Schizosaccharomyces pombe: one gene and its partners. The protein of the gene in region 3 purifies or fractionates together with the protein of the main gene of each other region. This does not show direct contact. Each region holds a gene or a part of one and is shown on either strand. Other genes may lie near its edges. The genes, in order: ste20, wat1, tor1 and sin1.

Region 1 (7,136 bases), 600 kb from region 3:
GAAGAAATCAAGCTTAGACGAAGTAACCTGTATGTCACATTGTACATAGCAAGAAAAAAAAAAAATCAATAATGTTCCATAGAAATAAACCCTTAAACGTACTTCCTTCTTTTGTCTATTAAACAAATCCGAAAACCTATCGAGTTATGTAGTCAAAAGAGTGTAAAAACCCAAATATATATATATATATTTTTTTTCAAATTATATTTATAAATTTATTTCCTTTTTTTTAAAGAATAATCTTCTTCCTTGCGAACAACCAAAACAAATTAAAACCAAATGCGATGTTGTATGAGATTTACTTGTGAGCAGAAATATGCCCAAACTCCACGATATGTTAAGCAAATACACTTTCGTTTAGTTATATAGGATTTGCTAATTTACTATAACATGAGGCTGCCGTTCGTTGCATACGTTGTATGTGGAAGTTGAGCATAACTTGCTAAGCATGGGTATTACATATAAGTACACCTTTGTGGTACGCAATTTTTATATTGATAATAACAGCGTACAAAGTAAAAATTAGCACGAAAAGATGAAAGGCAATATATTCTTGTTCATATTACTATCGTATGGAGGCCAGGGGCTAAGCAGGCCTACCTAAACTACACAAATTCAAAAAAATATCCGCAAGTATCAGACATGTCTTATAAATATTAGATTAATAATTTAAACATCCAAAAACAATTATAAACTCATTACTAACCCTAGCGCAATCACCTTTTATGTAAACACTAGTCTAACTTAGTAAATAAACTTATGAAAAGAAACAAAGAGGGAAGGTCAAAGAATAAGCAGAAAACTAAAGATCAAACTTATTGAATAACAGAAGAAAAACGATAATAAGAAATCATAAAAATCATTAATTTACAAAAATTTTAGAAAAGTGAAGGTTCGGAAATTTGGAGTTCATGCGGAAATTGACAAATTATTCGGCCTGGACGGGGATTCATTTAAGTCCTGTGAGGTTGAGGAAGACAATAAAACCGAGTAAGGAAATAATTCAAATACAAATTGTTGAATCTGAACACGGTAATGGAATTTTCCCAGAATGGTCATACAAGCTTTCACCAAACGTTTAGAGGAGAAAACTTTAGCATTTTTCGAACGAATCTTTGTTAGTTGCCGTGCTGACTCGTTTGTTAAAACATGGTTTGACAAATTGGAAACGAGCCTAATTACCTCTCTCTCTGAGTTAGTTAAAGAGCTAAGTAATGAAGAAAACTCAGGAGTTGGCACGCGCTCATTTACAAACTCAACATTTCTCCTTGGAGTTGATAATACTTGTCCAGCATGTCTCGGAATGCAAATTCCTTGTGAAGTGCCCATTAAAGACATAAGGCTATACCAATGCAGTGATTCGAGTATCTCAACGCCTTTAGAAGTCCTGGAAATCAAGCCTAATACAAAATAAGCAGTTCCTCGAACAGTAGGAATCAATGAATTTTCGGCATATTTGACAATCAACGGTATCGTATCATGGTTAATTAAAAACGTAATACCCTGATCGGTTTTTCCAATGTTTCCTATAGCCCAAAGAGCACTCTTTAACTGCCTGATGGCTTCATTTCCTAACGGTTTATCGTAAAATTCCACCAAGGTACCCATAAAAGATTCAAAATGCCCAGAAGACTCGAGAACCTCACAACCTTGTGGAGATTTGACTAATTCGCCATAAAAGTGTAGGGGAAGTATATTTTCATCTGGTTCATTGTTTTTCTTGTCAATAATTTTGAGATTTGAAACAAAAGAAAGGAAAAAATTTTGCTCCAATAAATCCACGTAATCTATATTTCGATGATGGTACCAATTATCGAGTTCATGTTCAATAAAATTAATTTCAGAAAGGTAATGAAATCCGACAGTTGTAGCAAGAAAACGTAAAAGTAAAGGTGAGCCAATTTCACCCAAATGGGCCAATGAAGGTTGAAGCTGAACAACTTGAGCCAGCAAGTTTTCATTTCGAGCACAAACTTCATTCAACACCTTCACTGCTGTTTTACATACTTCCAAGCAAGGATCGTACAGTTGAAATATCAATAGAGAAATTGCCCAGTGATTTAAGTTGTCATTGGCAGACTCAGAATTGATTAAAGCCGCAAGATGCTTGGTTGCAGTTAAGCGTACAGCCTGTTGCCCGGTATTAAGCGCCTTAGAAAATATAATTCGTGTGTGCCCCTCTAGCCGATAATCAAGATTAGTCAGAAAAATAATTATGAGATCGTCTCTGTTCCTCAATTCTGTCAAATGGTAAAGTGTAGTAAAAATCCTCCATCGTTCCATAATTGCATGACCTTCCTTTTGGCTTGACAATACTTTTAACATAGGAAAGTAACCGTGGGTGAGGGTTTTCTGAAGCCTACTGTTCGAGAAAATCGGCTCAGAAACCTGTTCTGAATATCCGTCTATCTGGCTAAGAGATTCTGCTATTTGTTTAATCACTTTGCTTTCAGAAAGATATTTAACGCCTTCCGGATTGGCTAGTAAAGTCCTGAAAACAAGACAACCAACCTTTATAAATTTTTGATTTGGTTTAGTGTTTTGTATGGAAGAAAATCTGTTGGAAAAGGGTTTATAAAATGCTAAAAGCCGTCTCATAAATTTTGTGGTTCGCAAAGTTTCATCAATACGTTTCGGACTTAGCAATGGACCCTCCATAATTTGGACAAGTGTATCCCATCGCCATTTTTGATAGTTTTTTGTAGCTAACACGTTGGTTTCAGCTAGCATACTACGAAAATGTGAATCATCAATCTGCATGCCCATTTTCAATTTAACATGCTCAACCTGTCTTTGCCCCCGAAAAGATCCATCAGTTTTTTGCTCCTTAAAAAGAAGAGAGGTTGTCTGCGAGAAAGGTTGTGTTGCAGAATGGAATTTAACTCTATTCAAACTTTCAATGGATTGAAGAACAGAAGTGGCAACAAACCTGTCTTCGGCAGTAAATTGAGAAGCCATATTAAATAAAGATGGCAAGGATTGTATTTTGGCTCCTAAATGAATCGGCAGTAGCTCATCAGACAGCCTCAATACCTCTCCTAGAAGATATGTAGCTTTACGTGAGGCTGATGGGTCATCGCTGGCCCTAATCATACATACAATAGATTCAACCAAACCGAGCTCCAAAAATATAAATAATAAGACGGCTGTAAAATGTTGGCGTAGCGACATGTACTTTTTGTTGGAACCATCCGGTATATTAACCATGTTTATGTTATCATCATTAGATACAGCCTGATTTTTAACGACTGTTAATCGTTTTCCGGCCAAAAAAGACTCTGACCAACTTGAATACTCAACTTGGAAAATTAAAAAGAAAAGATCAATTACATCGCTTCGTGGAGCAAAGGATGGAACCCGAAGTGTATCAACAATCGACCGAAGAGCCTGAAAATCATTGGTAGACAAAGCCAATAATCCAGACCATGAATTAAGCAAAACAGAGGCAACTTTGGCGGAAGATTTCATGGCTTTTGCAGCTTGTTCAGACTGTTCCTCAGAGGAATTAAATGTATCTCGCGAAGAAGAACTAGTAAAAGGTGAAAGTAAAATGCCAATATCGTAGGGTAAATTTACGTAACAAGCGCTTTCAGGATCATCCAAAAGATATACTAATGCAAGTGCAGCACTAGCTGCTAAATTCTCAGAAATACTTCCATCGATTAGGGAGATCATTAAAACCCTTAAACCATTAGCTTTAAATAAAATTTTTGGTCGAATAATCATTAACTCGATAAGAGTTTCAACAGCAATTCCACGACTAACATCTGATACATGCTCACAAATTGAAATGATAGTCCTCGTAATACCTGAAAGATAATCCTCATGTCCTTCAGTTGATGAAAGAAAATAAAGAGTTCGGATTAGTCGGAATGCTTGCTCTCGTTCAATTTGATATGCATCGGTACCAGAAAGTAGAGACTTTGACAAGATCCAAGGTAAATTCAACATTTGACAACAAGAGAATGCTGTTGCGTCAAGAAACAAATGCCTTAGTAGTCTATAAACAGAAGCCGTAACTTCAGAGACATTCAACTCGAGCATTGAAAGTATGGTCGGAGTAATCAAGGAGAAGTTTTTTGCATAAGCGGGATCAGAATGTTCATGTAAGTATTCACATAAATTATTTGAGGAATCGATTACATCCTTCATACTGCCTTCAAGACAAGCCTTATATATATTATCAAGCCAAGGATTTAATGGAAATTGTGAGAAATTCGATTGCAAACTAGAAGGACGTTTTCCGTTAGGTTGAGTATCTTCAGAAGAAGAATTATTTTTTTCGTTGACATTTTCAAAGTCAATTCTTTGAATGACGGTAGGAGTTAAATTGCTATGCGCATTTCTGGTAGGACCTATTAATTCACCAGTCCCACTGACTGTAACACTGCAACTATCGCTACATCCTGCTTTGTAAGAAAATCTCGTACTATACTTTTCCTGCAATGAGCTCTTTCGACTGACAGTCGCAGAAGCAGACCTCGTGAGACTGGTTGAGCCAGTTTTTGCTTCACCATTTTCTCCTTGGAAAGATTCAATGCTAGAAACTAATTCCTCTATCTTTTTTTTAGATGATTCGAGCTCATCGGTACATTTCTTTTTTAACATTTCTTTACGTTCTTTTGTTTCTTTTTTAAAATTGGTGTCGAAGACTTGCAGCAACGTTTCAGCGCCATCCCGTATTTTGCACTCAACTTCGAGCTTTCCCTTCAAATCCTCAAGTAACTTGAGCCTTTTTGAATCAGTGGTATTCATTTTTTTGATAAAGTCACCATTAGTTTTGGCATGGGAACTTATATCCAAAGCAGTATCGGTTTGTCCCCTTCGCACAGGTTTCATGAGCACTGATCATTAAAAGCAGGAATAAAAAAGCTATCTCCTTCCATAAGCGCCTTCATGAAATAGCCTTATAAAGGGATAGTATGTTTTCGTACTAATACTTATTGCGTGCAACACGCGATTGCTTACTGGGCTAGTCAAACTCTCAATTTTTAAGCAATCTAGTAAAATTAAAGATATTAACACTTAAATAATAACTTAAGATTGTGAAGAGTCCTAAAATGATAATGCTTGCGAACTATGCTCGTATGCTCATGGATACCCCAACGGCTGAACTTAATCGGAGTTCTGTTACCGGCGTTAACGATTGTACGACATGGAGTGATGTTTCGCTATTAATGGGCAAAACAAATTTCCTTAGAATTCGCTAATAAATAATTAGATACTAGGTACTGGTTCACTAAAGAATCGAATCCTTAATGTTTACTTTACAGTCTCAAGATTGCTAGTTAACAGTATACGAAAACATGAAGGATAAATCAAAGCAAGAGAATAAGATGAGTAAATTATATTACTACAATCAACTATTAAAATTTGTTTATATTTTTATTTATGGAAACAAAAGGCTAAACAAAAAATGTTTTAACAGATATGCCCAAGCCAATATAGAATTAAAATGCCATTTTGAGATACAAATATTGCTTTCGAAACATTTCAAAAAAGATTTTTTTAAAACGAAACGATAATAAAAAAGACAGAAAAGAATCGAAAATAATGTGAAAAGATAGTAAACAAAAAAAAAATTTTAACGAAAAAATAAATATTGGTAACGTGGATAAACAACTTCATTCATTTACCAAATCTCCTTTATGTATTTAAGGTTAAGTGGACTTTGCCAAAGAGCAAGTTGTTGGGTAGCTTCCAGCCTGCTCATTTTTCCGTATTGAACGCAAACATCAATCAAGGCATTTTCAACACCATCTAAAAATCCCTTTTTACCACCACAAAGATAAACCTTCCCATGAGGATGACTAAGAACACTCCATACAATGTCACCACGGTGTCGAATCTCGTCCTGTACATAGGCATGTTGGTGAGAACGTGATTCAACAACAAGATGGTTGGGGCCACTAGTACCGTCTTTTTTAACTTCGAAGGAATCCATTTCAGTTTCGGTTTGTTGGCTGACTGTAGAAGATGCATCATCGTCTGAAGACTTTTGAAGCGGGTTTTCCCACTCACCATGATAGAGCTCATCCAATTCTTGGTCGCGGCATCCATGGAAAACCCAAACTTTACCAGCACAAGTGGCATTTGTAAGACGTCGTTGCACAAAACCTCTAAAGGGAGCAACACCTACACCGGCACCGATTAGGCACATAGGGCCATCAGAAGCAAAATGTGTGGCAAATGCGTTTTTGTGCAGACCGCGGTACATTGGAAGGACGAGATCTCGTTCACCATTTAAAAATCTCAATGCCAATCTTTTCAAAAAACCAGAACCAATACCAGAACGAGTGCCTCCTTCAACTTTATTGATTTCAACAACTGTAACCGCAAATTCCAATACATTATTACTGACCTTGGGATCGTTTGACAAAGAATACCATCTAGGCATAAGCTGGGGAAGCACGGTTAAAAGGTGATCAAGAGGAAGTTGAACACTAGGGAAAGCCTTTAGCAGAGTGATAAGTGTAACGTTGTGGTCCCTTAAATCACAGAAAGCACGTTGTCCCAAACGACTGACCAAAAACAACAAAACTTGCCGCTCGGTATCATCCTTGGCGTATTCGGCAAGTAACCGAATAAGCTGCTTTTTTGGGGCGACAGACATAAACTCCACGGTCCATTTAAGAAGCTCACGCCTGGTTGTAACGAGTTCTCTAGGTGTGTCTTCTGCCCAGATGGTGGGCCAACGACCTCCATCGGTTTTTAAAAGGACAGGGGCATCTGCCTGGTCGGGATTGATATGAAGTAATTGTAAAAGCTCATCCACATCCTCTTCGTTGTTGGGAGCCATTACACCAAACGACCCTCCAACCATCCACTCTTCGCCTTCAGGAAGGGGATAGTTGGAAACGTCTAGTTCAAAATGGAACACACGTTTGACAGCACCTGGTTTAGTGAGCTCACGAACGTCTAGTATAGGGGCGGGAAAGACACTGAACGGAGGGTGTGGTTGAACATAGTGAGGAGGCATTCTAGAAGGAGTTGAATGAATTTGAAAGTTGGGGTCTTCTTTGGCACGAGCCTCATCGATATCAATCAAAGAGACATGATTCTCGGGAACTTTGGGAATTCTGTCAAGAGTAATATTTTCATGTAGAAGACCTAGATCCATGTTCAAAGCCTGGAAG
Region 2 (3,708 bases), 1.4 Mb from region 3:
TGAACTCCTCGTAGGAGATCACGAGCTACAGCGGTCACATCATGAAGAACAGCCTTCTTTGGTTTATCCTTCTTCATCGTTCAGTTCTACGAGCAAGTTTTGGAGATACTTCGCCTATCTGCTGAGCTTACAAATTGTAATAGATTTTGTTTTATACAAATTATCATCTGCAATGGCAAGTCTTCATTATCTAAAGTTTGTGAAGATAATAGCCTTATCTTATATTTGCTTCTCTTCGCTCATACGGATTTGTCATTGCTGGACATATTTTATTCGTATTATGGGATTATCCAGCTTAAATAAGTTTGTCAATCTATTGCATGATTTTGAAACTACATCTAATCGTGTTTACTCCCAAATTTGTGAATTGGAAGCAAATTCGGCAGCAAATCGCTCCCGGTTAATGGACTTCCTTCCTGCCAATGATCCTTTATTGTTTAATCTTACGGAACAAAATACTTTAAGTTACGAACTGTCTGGTTTGTATGAGAAGCTTTTACCTAGATACCAGCTGGTTCTGTCAAGAATATATCCGTATGCAGCTGCTTCCAACCTTAGAAACCTATTATCACTATATAGACTTCCAAATTGCTTTGGTAAATTAAATTCGTTTGACCTCCGAAAAGGTTCCTCAACAAGCTTAAAACGGAGTTCCATGTACCTAGCCCGTAAAGAAAACCAAGACTTTGATGACCAATCCACCCAAATTCTCAATCACATCAAAACTGCTTATTATGAATTAACTATAATCTCTAAGCAAGTTCTATGTTGCATACTATCGTTTCCGGTTGATTCATTTTTAGCTGAAAGGTCTTCATGGCTCATTGTTCACCGGGAGGTAGGTGACCTCTCTAATGCATTGTCTGTGTCGATGGTTCGTCTCGTTGACATCTTAAAGTTTTCAGTTGAATCGGTCAACCGTAATCAACATAACACTACTAGCAAACCTTTCCCCAGGATCATGTGCAAAGAAAATTTGCGCAGTCTTTTTAACGAGTTGCACTCTGTAATGATGGAAACTCATGAGTCTATCAGCTCATATATTCAAGAAGGAGACAATACAGCTATGCAGACATATGCTATGGATGAATATGATCAAGTTGGTTTACTGCTCAAAGATTTGCTCTCTGAATGGGACTTTAATAGAGCACTACTTCTCAACTTGCAACACATGCACCGAAAGCGTAAATAATTTTGGCTTTCAGAATTTTAAACCATATTTTGCTTTTATGATCTTTTTTATCCATTATTGTCCGTTTCTGTTATACGTCTTTCGGAACCTTGTTGGTTTTAATAGTTAGGATAGTTATTATAAACTATTTACAAATCGACATTTATCTAGGTTTAAATGTCGTTCAACTCAGCAATGATGTCTTTGTTGCTTAAAAATTTGCCTTAACCTTTCGTCCTGTATAATATTTTAGTTATACCAGTTTATCTTTACACTTATGCTTATGCTACTTATTGCAGGCGCAATTTTTTAAAAAATTAAATTAACATGAATTTACTATTATTCTATGAATTTTCCTGTTTTTATGGTCAAAACTGTTAAATTTTTTAAAGTTTTGATGGCTGTAGATTTAAAGTATAGATCGCCAATCGTGCGTTTACAAGTCATGCTACAAAAAATTTACTAAATATATAATATAAACATATTTAATTGATTTTAAAAATTTTCAGTCATTAATTCTCTCTGTATTCGAGTTTGTTTAATAACTACAGTATAACAGCGCTCCATTCTTTAACCACATGTCAGTACAGTATCCACCACAACATTCTGTTCTGCTCGTCAGCAGTGGATATGACCATACCATTAGATTTTGGGAAGCCCTAAGTGGAATATGCTCGAGAACAATACAACATGCGGACTCTCAGGTAAATCGTTTATGTATTTCACCTGATAAGAAGTTTCTAGCAGCCGCCGGAAATCCTCATGTAAGATTGTACGACATAAACACTAGTAGTCAAATGCCATTAATGACCTTTGAAGGGCACACCAATAATGTTACAGCCATCGCTTTTCATTGTGATGGTAAATGGCTTGCCACATCGAGCGAGGATGGAACAGTAAAGGTGTGGGATATGAGAGCCCCTTCAGTTCAGCGAAACTATGATCATAAATCTCCTGTTAATGACTTGTTAATTCATCCAAATCAAGGTGAACTGCTTTCATGCGACCAAAGTGGACGAGTTCGTGCATGGGATTTAGGAGAGAATTCTTGTACACACGAACTTATTCCGGAAGAAGATGTACCTATGAGCAGCATTACTGTTGGATCTGATGGTAGTATGCTTATTGCTGGGAACAACAAAGGAAACTGCTACGTTTGGCGAATGCTAAATCATCAGGGTGCTTCATTGCTTCAGCCCGTTGTCAAATTTCAAGCTCATCAGCGTTATATCACTCGCTGCGTCTTGTCTCCTGATGTCAAACACCTTGCTACATGTTCTGCCGATGCTACAGTGAATATATGGAGTACGGAGGATATGTCATTTATGCTTGAGAGACGACTTCAAGGGCATCAAAGATGGGTTTGGGATTGTGCGTTTTCTGCTGATTCTACCTACTTAGTAACCGCATCTTCTGATCATGTTGCAAGGCTTTGGGAGTTATCGAGTGGTGAAACAATCCGTCAGTATTCGGGTCATCACAAAGCTGCTGTTTGTGTTGCTCTTAATGACTACCAAATTTAAGTGTTTCAAAGCATTTTTCAAAATAAGTTTACGAGTTATGTTTTGTTGTATTTTTAGCTCAACTGATGTTGGAAAATTACTTCTATATATTCAAGTTTATTACACGCCTTTATCCTATTTTACCTTTGCTATATAGATTTTATTCACCAATCTTCTTAGGAAAACAAGAGTCTTGTCTTGTCAACATTCGTTTATATTAAGTGTGTCTGATTTCAAGACGATTTCTTAGTCACTTACAAATTTTTTATAAATTATATTCTTCCCTTGATACAGTATTTGCTAGTTTCATATCTCGGAGTTTTTATGATAAATAATAGTCTTAAGTGATGATAACTTTTGAAAATTTTCAATGCTTATTAGTGTAGTTTAACTTATTTTACAACTTTTATCTCTAAACATGATAGGATTAAGTAGGAAAAGTTACATATCCTCGTGTCCTTAAATGAAATGAAATGTATATCTTCATTAGCTTTCTGGTTAGCGAAGAAGCGAATTTGATAATGCAAAATTTGAAGAATTTAGTCTCGCTAAATCTGCTAATTAACTTACCGAGACTTACCGTAGTAAGATACGAAAAAAATTTCTAGGCCGTTCGACACAGCTGACCTTAACCACAACTCACAGCCAGCACATACTTAATCTCGCGAGGAGAAAAAACCTTCGATTTATAGCTCACTCTTTCCACTAACAATGTCTACTCAACCTCTTTTACAAACTACTCCTGGTAAAAGAATTGCTCTTCCTGTTCGTGTTGAACCTAAAGTTTTTTTCGCTAATGAACGTACTTTCCTTTCTTGGTTGAGCTTTGCAGTAGTTTTGGGTGGTTTGTCAGTTGGTTTACTTAACTTTGGTGATCGAATTGGTAAGATTAGTGCAGGACTTTTCACTATTGTTGCTATTGGTACCATGGGTTATGCTCTTGGTATTTACCACTGGAGAGCATCTGCTATTCGACGACGCGGAAGTGGTCCTTACGATGATCGATTGGGACCTACCATTCTCTGCTTTGTTTTG
Region 3 (4,684 bases):
AACGGGAAGACGTATTATCAAGGGAAAATGCTTTCAACATACAAGATAATATTTGAGGCAAGTAAAATTTAAATTCATCCTGCAGTGCAATTGCTATGGCATCGATGAGTTCAAGAATAACTAGCAATAGAGATGTGGTAGATTCCCAAAAGACTTTTGAAAGATTAAAAATATCAGATACATAATCCCTAATGTTTGGTCCAATAATAGAAGTTAAAGTCGTTAACTGCTGAAAATAAAACTCAGCCGAGGAAGCCGATAAGGATTGCATTACTTGTAGAAACGTTGGTACCACTTGAGGTAAAAATACAGTAGATTTAGATCCCATTTGAGAGCAAATATGCATCACTGCTTGAACAACAGAAGAGTGATGCATAGAGAGCGAACTGTCTTTTAAAATACCTATCAAAGTGACAACAGCAACCATAGCGTAGTTTTCCAATGACGGGTACTGCGCGGCACTAATTTGAGGTACACCATGGGCATTATTATGACTACTTTGTAAATCATCTGAAACTTCCTCAGTAGTTAAATACGTATATGGATCTAAAGCACCTAACACACCTAATGTTCTCAGTACTTCTCTTCTTATCGGTGTTGGTTGTTCTGATTGCAAAATACCAATTAGCGCGCCCAACAAAGGAGGGTAATCTAAATATGGCTGAATTACATAACCTGAACGACCACAAAGTTTTCGTAAACATTTAAGAGAAGCAAGTCGCTTCAATGTAGAGCTTTGATCCTGTAAATTCACAAGTATTAACTTCATGAAGGAACCACGAACATCCACAGGCATATCTTCTCCTTCAACACTTGCGAGTTCACCTAAAGCTGATATAATGGCAGATGAAACTCCAGGACTCGTATCTGCTGCTTTCGGTAATATTACATGAATGATCGATTGGATATATGGCTTAATGAGTGTTCTAGCTTTGGATACCAGTAATTTGAGAAGCTGTGCGCTTTCTTCTTTTTGACGACTATTACCCGAATATTCCATGTCAGATAATAACTGAATAATAGTTTTTCGTAGCGATGGCATCACATGGGCCGGATTATACAATGCAAGCCTTCCTATAATAATGATAGCAATTTCTCTGATTGAAAAAACTTCATCATTCAGAGCGATAAATAAGCAACGAATATTATCAGGATGTGCCAAATGCCGATCAAATCTTTCATCTAGTAATGAGAGTACGGTTTCCCTAATTTTTGGATCACTATCTGCAATTCCAAGGGTTAATAGCTTTTCAAGCACCTCAGCGACTGATTCAACAGCCAAAGGATTTGTTTTTCTACATATCGGATCTCTGGCAAAAACCTGACAGCAAGTTCGTGCAGCAGCAATACGGATCTCTGAATTATCATTTTCCAAGTAAGATAAGACAGATTCTTGGATGAAACTAATTAATGAATAACCAGTAAAATTAAAAGTACCCAAAGTTTCTAAAGCCAAAATAATTGATTCCGTGCTTTTACTTCTTTGGTCAGGTTCCCTAGCAGAGTATATATTAGTGAAACTGGGAGTATATGTGTCATTAGTACGAATTTCAAAGTTTTTTCCAGTCAAAATTTGACTAACCATATTCAATAATCGTTCTTGAATAGGAGCCAAAAGAGGAGGGATGTTTTCTGCCATTTTCACAAGAGCTTGACGCAAGTGAACGCTCAGTTCGCAAGAAAAAATCAGACCAAGTAGACTTCGAGAATCTTCAAGGAGTTCAAGCTTTACAGCAGCAGCCAACATGCCAATGCATTCAAAAACAGGCTTTTCATATTGCGTTTTTTCACGTACTTTTGCTGTCAATGTATCCCTTATTACTTTTAAAATATTCTGTAAATAAGGAATCATTGCTTCATTGACTGCCATGGCTATTCTTCCAATAGCTTCAAAAGCTAAAGACTTTTCCTTGTCTTTCCTGATATGGGAAAGTAAGTAAACCATAAAAGAATCTAAATAACGCTGTTGAAATTTTTTGGGGTTATATTCAGACAATGTAGGCAGTAAAAATACTATGCAGCGTCTGATAGAGTTATCTCTATGCTCTCGTAAACGAAGCGCCAAATCACAAAATTCTGTGTAATGTTCACGAATAAAAGAGCCAGATTTTTCGAAAAGCTCTTTGTATGCGAGAAGACTTCCATGCAGATATTCCACACTCGACTGTCGTAAACCATGTTCAGCTTGAAGCAGAACTTCATTAAAACACTGCAATTGAACTTTAGCTTCTCTTTGACAAACCACGTCTAAAGAAGCACCCAAAGCATCAGCAGCAGTTTCCCGAATAAGAGGCTTTGGATCACGCAATCCAGTCCACAAATTTTGGAAAATTTCACTAATATACAAGTAAACTAAGGTAGGAGAATTTTGTGCTAAAGCCTTAATAATTAAAATAGCCGCCATCCGTTTTTGCTCTTGACGGTCTCCTTGAAGCCACTCGAAAGCACGCTGAACTTCAAATTCAACGAATTCGGCTGCAAGGGTACCACCAGACGCAGCCAAATGACCAAGAACCTTCGCAGATAGTTCCATCGAATGCCAATCCGTACTAGGAAGGGTCATTCGTAAGTAATTTGCATACCGCGAAAGATTAGTAACATCTCCCTCACTTTCGAATTCAATTAGCTTGCCTATCGCAAGGATTCCTCCAAATCTTTCGTGGGAATCATGGCTATGAATAAGCTCAAAAATTCGACGATTGATATCGTTATTGAAACGCGCAAGGGATTCACCTGATAATTCCTTAGTAGAACTATGTACAAATTCTTTTAATTGATCAGCGGCTGCTAGTTGAATGCTTTCATTTTTGTTTTTTAGATCACTAAAATACTCCATGAATCAAAGAGAGCGAGTGAAACGATAGACTTTCTAATAGTCGCGGTGTTCAATTCTTCCACTTAGGCATTCATCACAATGTCTACGGAAAGCAAACAATTCAGTATTAGGTTGACCGGAGAGGTATTGGCCTTCCAGTTTGATTAAATGAACTTTATATATGTTCAGATTAATATAATTTCTTAGTAACTTCTCCGAGATATGGAAAAGGTTAAAAGTTAACAACTTATGACATTAAATGTCATGTCAAAATTTCTAAGGTATTCCAACGTGAAATCGTTCAAAAAACATAACATAGCACATTATAATCCTTTAAGTATATGGAGCACTTTTTGTACACAGAAATAAATTCGTTTTTATTTGCTCGTCATTTTTATTTTGCACGAGCGCATGGCTTAAACGTTTTTTTTATGAGGAGTTCTGAATCAATCCATAAATATTTGATTCTTTAAAAAGTTGTTTGAGTTTTTCCAAGCTAGCCCACTGTTATTTTTCTTTGTTTGGTTGATTTCCCGACACTTACACCACTAACGCGTGCGGTTATCATACTGTAAACAAATGATGTTAAAGACATGAGACCTTTCTTTCTTTATTCTCTTGTTTTTTTATTTGGTTATATAACTTCTAGTTTGTCTTTAGTTAAGCGCATTCATTCTTGTTTGGCATACATTGTATCTGGTGGCCGTCTTTTCACCAAGGTTCCTTCATACGTACTACTGTTTACCGTTTTAGGATTTTTTATTTTCATTCTTTTAGAACGAATCGCTGAATCCGAAGCTCGTAACTCAACGTCAGTTAGCGGTGGCATTTCTGCAAGGGAACAGCTTTTACGTCGAGGAAGTTTTTGATTTTACAACTTGAGTTCTAAACACCGGAGAGAGCAGTATCATCTCCTGTTATATTTTTCTTAACAAAAGTTTTTTGTATGCTTCTAAAGTCTGTTATTACTTGTTTGTCTTTTTTATTAAACACTTCGGAATTGACTTCAGAGCATTCAATATTATATTTCAAATGTCTACCACAACCATGAATATAGCTTCGGCTCCAATTGAAGTGAAACGGATATATTGGCCCAAAAGTACGATCTCTTATACCGATTCTGGTTACTTAGTTGGTTGGAAGTACTCTACCAACGATCTTATCGTTGTGACAACAATTACTAGTTATCAATCCTTCGCTAATTTTTTAGTTGATTATTGCAAAAATCAAGATCAATCAGTAGATATTAAATCTCTGTGTATATTAGGCACGTTTAATTGCTCTGCCGATATTTTGCCGGGTGACAAATATGAAATTGATTGTTGGATCAAAGTGCAGCAATCGACTGAGCTTTCTCATCCCCGAGTTTTCGATTCGGCTAGTACGCCTTTAAAAATAAATCTGCATATAATTTATTATCATCCTCCGCAGCCAAGAAAAATGCAATTTCTTTCCCTTGAACCTCTATCGCTTTTATTGTTAAAAGATAGTTTTATTAACAAGTCAAACCCTGAATACGAAAGCATGCAACACCAGCAAATACTGTTAAAAAAATTGAAATTGCACTTTCCCCGACGCAAAGAAAATAGCTGGAAAAGGAGTCTACGCTCAGGCTTAATTGAGCTTCTTAATCAATCCTTCGAGGTTCGCATGTTAACACATGAAAATAATAACAAAAAAAATTCATATGTTTTTCGACTTTTTGATCGTGTCTCGTCATCAACCTTTTATTTTTTTAATTCGCTGTTTGCTTACTTTATCATATTATTGAGGATAATTAATGAGGTTATACTCTTGGCGATTAATTACCGACCGATTCCTTTATCTTATAATATGATGGATATTTTCGTTTCTGCTCGTCAAGTAGAT
Region 4 (4,931 bases), on a different chromosome or scaffold from region 3:
AGAACCGAGAGAATTGTAGGACTGATATCTACCGTTCAGATTCTATTCATGAATACGAAGAGCCACTTACGAGCTCCATCACCTCTTTAGATTCCCCTCATGTTCTTGACGAAAATGCTCCGATACCGCTTCTTCCAAAAGTGGTTTCTTTACCAGATCCTCGCTTTACAAATGTTCTTTCAGCCTTTGACGCTTTGACTAGGACATATTTGCTACGACAGAATTCTAAAGTTGTACATGCCACTAGTCAGAAACAAGAAATGCAAACTTCGCGGCGCGTTGTCAATTCTTGTTATATGCCAGAATCGTTATCGCGAAATTTGTCCAGTAGTTTGCAACAAACCGGCGGGAGTGGAAGATTGTTTGTCCGTCTTATGGAAATCAGAAACTTAACTATTCCTTTGGCATCGGGGATGACCACTAGGTTCACTTATACAATCTCTGGTAAGCACATTCAAGTACCATGGAACGCCTTACACTCTACTACTAAAATTGAAAATGAGTATACTTTTGATGAAAGTATTAGTTCTTCAATTGTATGTACGCTCCGTGCGGCTTACGATCCACCTAAGGTTCGCACTCGTTCTACACTTGGAAAAGTATTTTCAACAAATAAGAGAAAGTCTATGACTACCGACCCCGTTTCAGAAGCACTTCATGGATTTGTTTCTGAAGATGGAACTTTCGGCGAAGTTACCATTAACACTGATTCTGTAAGCCGAACCGCACTAGGCCGTTGTCAATCTATGGTTCTACCAATCATGAACAAATGGACTGTTGATCCGGCAGCTAAAGATGTCAAGCCTCTCCCTCGAAAAGTAGGAGAACTCGAAATCCACGTATTTTTCTTACCAGCGCTTCCTGTCTCTCTGAAAGAACTTCCCGCTTCAATCGAGTCTGCCATGTATGACTTAAAGCTTGCTGAATGGGATAGAACTTTATTGTGTGATGGTTATCTATGTCAACAAGGTGGGGATTGCCCTTATTGGCGTCGTCGCTATTTTCAATTAATAGGATCAAAGTTAGTAGCTTTTCAACAATTCTCTAAAGTTCGCAGAGCAACGATTGATTTGTCTGAAGCCACACATATCGTGGATGACAACCATTATAGTGATGAAGAAGAACTAGAAGGGTATCTGTATTTCGAATCGGGTTTCCGTATCATTTTCAGTAATGGGGACTACATCGATTTTTACGCTGAAACCGTCGGCGAAAAAGATGAGTGGATGTCTACACTTCGTCAGCATTTGGGGCAATGTTCAATGGTTCACAAAAATTGGACCAAATCATTTCTTTCGCTGAGTTTTTAAATTGACCATTTGCTTCGACCTCACTTTTTCTATTTAAATCACATTTGGTCTTTATCTTCTCCTTTATCTATATCGTCTTGCATTTTTCATTGGTTTTGTTGTTTCCCTCGCATAATACATAATGTTCATTTTATCTACCATCGAGAAGCTAGATTCGGTTGAAATGAGCTCGTTTTATATAAGCTGTTAAAAATCGGATAGCAATTACTTACTACTCCCCATGTATATTTATACTTCAGTTGCAAAATACTTCATTTTTGAAAGTTTCCCTTGATCCGAAGAAACGTTGTCAAAATAAGTTGTCTCAAAACGTTTATCTTGGCTTTGTAAATAAATCAAATTCCTTAAAATACTCTAGCTTGGCGTTGTCGAGTGAATTTATTAAGTCGTAAGCTTGCCATTTGAGAAACTTCAAAAAATAAAAATTCCACAATAATTTAATTACATTATTCTGTAAATAATTAATACCGTAATTGCTATATAGTTCAAATACCATTTTTAGCTGTTTCGCAATATCTAAAACGTATATGAGATCACTTTTTTTCATTGTCTAGCGTTTTTGTACTTCAGTTAATAACTGTTTGAATTAATAGTTTCGTTCATATTTTGCTGTCTTTTGAAATTTGGTGGTACTTTACGGTGTTACCCCCAACACTTAATTAAATGCTTAGCGGGGGATACATAGCAACTGAAATAAAGCACGCGGCGTCCGTCACCAACGTTTCACATAATTGAGTTTACAAATTTTCTATATTAAGGTGCCATAAAAAGTATGGTCGCTAAGTATTCAAACTTCGTTGAAATTAAATATTTTATAAAGTCTGTAAATGCGATATAATAAGGACTCAGAATGGAATTAACAAGAGAGAAAGTGTAAGGATACTATTTTTTTTCCTATGAAACTTATACAAACTAATACGTTTATTTTACAGTCTTTTGTTAACATTTTTGCGAATGCAATATTCTCATATACTTCCTGACTCAATCGAAAATCGAGTTATATCTACTGAGGCCCCGGAATGGGAATTGGACAAATCATTGCAAGACTTGTTGATTCATGATTATGATTATTCTAAAACTTCGTTTTCTTCAAGTCCCCCGATTGTCGCTAATGACACTGTATCCAATGTCCGAAAGCCGAGTGATACTAAACAAGTAAATGGTGCTGGGGGTCAAGTTAATCATTCTCGAGCTGAAGATTCTGATTATGCTACTTCTGACTTATCCGAATCTTCAGATGTGGGTGATGACGATAACTCGTGTATATTTTCTTTTAGCAAAGTCCCAATGCAGAAGGATGTTGCAAGTATAAAAGAAGAGGAAAGACTGGACCCCAAAATTTCCACATTAAATAATATTGATGCTATCGCAAATCTTAAGCTTACCAACATGGTAGAATCCTCGCAGGCAGTGAATTTAACCTCGTCCAAACAGTCTTCCATAAACCAGCAAAGCAGTGTTTCTACGGATTATGATGATCTACGGTCGATTTCTGAGGAATCATTTCATTTAAGTCAAGGAGAAATTCCTCTTACTTTTCCAATGAATTCTTCCTTAACTGACACTGAAGCTGATGCAGTTGTTGCGGTTGATGCTCTTTTTCCTGGTAAGCAACGCGGAACACACAATACAGTCAATAAAGCAAGATCTGTTTCGAACGCAAAGGCTCCTACATCTGCTCTTCGTGCATTACTTGAACATAAAGAAAACAGTAGCCAGAATGGGCCATTGGCTGAAAATTTTGCTACTTTTTCTGGACATGCAGAATCAAATGCCCTCCGTTTAAACATTTATTTTCCTTCGAGCGAAAGTCCTTCAAAGCCCTTATTTGTAGAACTCCGAAAGAATGTTTTGGTCTCTGAGGCTATCGGTTATATTTTACTTCAATACGTTAACCAGCAACTCGTGCCCCCAATAGAAGATGAGGCTCAAAATCCGAATTATTGGAATTTACGTATTGTTGAAGATGACGGGGAGCTAGATGAAGATTTTCCCGCTTTGGACCGTGTAGGTCCATTATCAAAATTTGGTTTTGACGCATTTGCTTTAGTTAAAGCCACTCCTGCCCAAATAAAGGAAAATCAAGCTGCCTACCCGTTTAAATCGAAGCATCCAACATCAATTCCTGAAGCCAATAACAAAACGCATATTCGGCATACTAGTTCAACTTCAAGTCAATCACAAAAGCAAGCTCAGGATGTCAAAGATACACTTAATACTTCTCATGTCGTACAGGTACGACTTCCCCCATACGGGGATAATGCTCGATTTTGCAATATTGAAATATCAAAAACTACTAGATTGGCTATGGTGTTGAACCAGGTGTGTTGGATGAAGCAATTGGAGCGATTTAAGTATACTCTGCGAGTTGCTGGATCTGATACTGTTTTACCACTTGATAAAACATTTAGTTCACTAGACGGAAATCCAACTCTAGAACTTGTTAAAAAGAAGGTACGCGATAAAAAAGGAAGTACCCAACAATTGCCAACCTCCTCACCACAAAATTCCGTTTATGGATCTATTAAGAAAGATGCACAATCTTCAACATACAATGCAACAGATATTATGTCGAGCAATACCTATCAAGAATTTCTTGTATGGAAACGACAACCTGTTTCATTTATGGGAAGACATGAGCGTCTACTAGCTATTGATGGAGAATACGTTCACATAATGCCGTCTGAATCCAAAAATATATTTGAAACGCCTAAGACGTCCAGTATACATGCTGGATCGATTATTTTATGCAAGCAGTCTAAAAAATCACCATGTAATTTTAAAATGATTGTGTCCAAGAATAGGGAAACTAAGCGGTAAGAAATTTTTTAACGCTAATAAGCTAACGAGTTCAGGTATGATTTTGAAGTTTTGTCCGCCTTGGAAGCTGCCATTATAGTTAGCAGGATACGTGCACTGATGAATACTGTTAAAAAAATAAATTAACATTTATTTATTACAAAAAGATTCTATGAATACATAGGTATAAACACCTTTGTTTTTTGGTATCACATTGCTCTCTCCCCTATGTCATTTTTATTAAACATCTTCAAAATCAGCTTCATCTTCATCGTCTTCATCGTCCTCATTAAATCCATTAATAATAACATTCTTTTTACTTTCTTGCATTTCCGTATCACCATCAGTAATACCATTTGTAGAAACAATAGGTGGTAATGAATTGTTTTCTTCTATCGATTTTGTTCTTTTATTTTGGATATCACTATCTGAATTTAGGTTCTCGGTTTTACGCTTGACCGACCCATAATCAGTACTTTTGTTTTGAAGAGAGGTAGCCGTCGTAACGTCTAAGAAGTCATCATCCTCCTCATCATCTACGTTTTCACTGTCCATAAACTCGCTTTCCTCTTTTTGCTTTGCACGAAGTGTTGCGTAATAAGCATCTAAGGCGCTCTTTTCAGAAGTAATATCTGTTTTAGTGTCTTGAACCTCATTAACAGTTTCAGTTCTAAAACTATGAAGTGCGGCATCTTTAGCTCCAGCACGAGTAATGGAGCCAGAAATTGTTGATGTTGCATGCCATTCGGGAAGAATGTTTTGAGCAGCTTTGACTTGCTTGTCGCAATTCCTTTCACGCTTTTCATCAGTCTCTTTATCAGC

Evidence for each region.
Region 1: the proteins of tor1 (region 3) and ste20 purify together in Schizosaccharomyces pombe (affinity purification with western blotting; 7 studies listed by BioGRID, with this or other methods). This does not show direct contact.
Region 2: the proteins of tor1 (region 3) and wat1 purify together in Schizosaccharomyces pombe (affinity purification with western blotting; 7 studies listed by BioGRID, with this or other methods). This does not show direct contact.
Region 4: the proteins of tor1 (region 3) and sin1 purify together in Schizosaccharomyces pombe (affinity purification with western blotting; 6 studies listed by BioGRID, with this or other methods). This does not show direct contact.

What each region holds. Positions count from the first base shown.
Region 1 is NC_003423.3:2,473,842-2,480,977, reverse strand, and holds ste20 (target of rapamycin complex 2 subunit ste20), read right to left. Parts: upstream 5,100-7,136; 5' UTR 4,840-5,099; coding exon 910-4,839; 3' UTR 516-909; downstream 1-515. Other genes in the region: SPOM_SPBC12C2.01C (uncharacterized protein), read right to left, coding at 1-47; SPOM_SPBC12C2.03C (methionine synthase reductase), read right to left, coding at 5,633-7,136. UniProt on the Schizosaccharomyces pombe protein: Component of TORC2, which regulates multiple cellular processes to control cell growth in response to environmental signals. TORC2 is required for cell survival under various stress conditions.
Region 2 is NC_003423.3:1,661,198-1,664,905, forward strand, and holds wat1 (TORC1/2 complex WD repeat protein Wat1/Lst8), read left to right. Parts: upstream 1-1,743; 5' UTR 1,744-1,749; coding exon 1,750-2,694; 3' UTR 2,695-3,163; downstream 3,164-3,708. Other genes in the region: myosin-binding vezatin family protein Inp2, read left to right, coding at 1-1,192; vacuolar transporter chaperone (VTC) complex, GTPase regulator subunit Nrf1, read left to right, coding at 3,385-3,708. UniProt on the Schizosaccharomyces pombe protein: component of both TORC1 and TORC2, which regulate multiple cellular processes to control cell growth in response to environmental signals. Nutrient limitation and environmental stress signals cause inactivation of TORC1.
Region 3 is NC_003423.3:3,074,113-3,078,796, reverse strand, and holds the start of tor1 (TORC2 serine/threonine protein kinase Tor1), read right to left. Parts: upstream 3,050-4,684; 5' UTR 2,837-3,049; coding exon 1-2,836. Other genes in the region: gpi1 (pig-Q), read left to right, coding at 3,848-4,684. UniProt on the Schizosaccharomyces pombe protein: Catalytic component of TORC2, which regulates multiple cellular processes to control cell growth in response to environmental signals. In response to signals, TORC2 phosphorylates AGC protein kinase family members.
Region 4 is NC_003424.3:4,745,518-4,750,448, reverse strand, and holds sin1 (MAP kinase-interacting protein Sin1), read left to right. Parts: upstream 1-2,021; 5' UTR 2,022-2,160; coding exon 2,161-2,183; intron 2,184-2,226; exon of another isoform or gene 2,227-2,242; coding exon 2,243-4,126; exon of another isoform or gene 4,127-4,165; coding exon 4,166-4,256; 3' UTR 4,257-4,349; downstream 4,350-4,931. Other genes in the region: mid2 (septin ring organizing protein), read left to right, coding at 1-1,310; transcription factor TFIIE subunit Tfa1, read right to left, coding at 4,350-4,931. UniProt on the Schizosaccharomyces pombe protein: Component of the mechanistic target of rapamycin complex 2 (mTORC2), which regulates multiple cellular processes to control cell growth in response to environmental signals.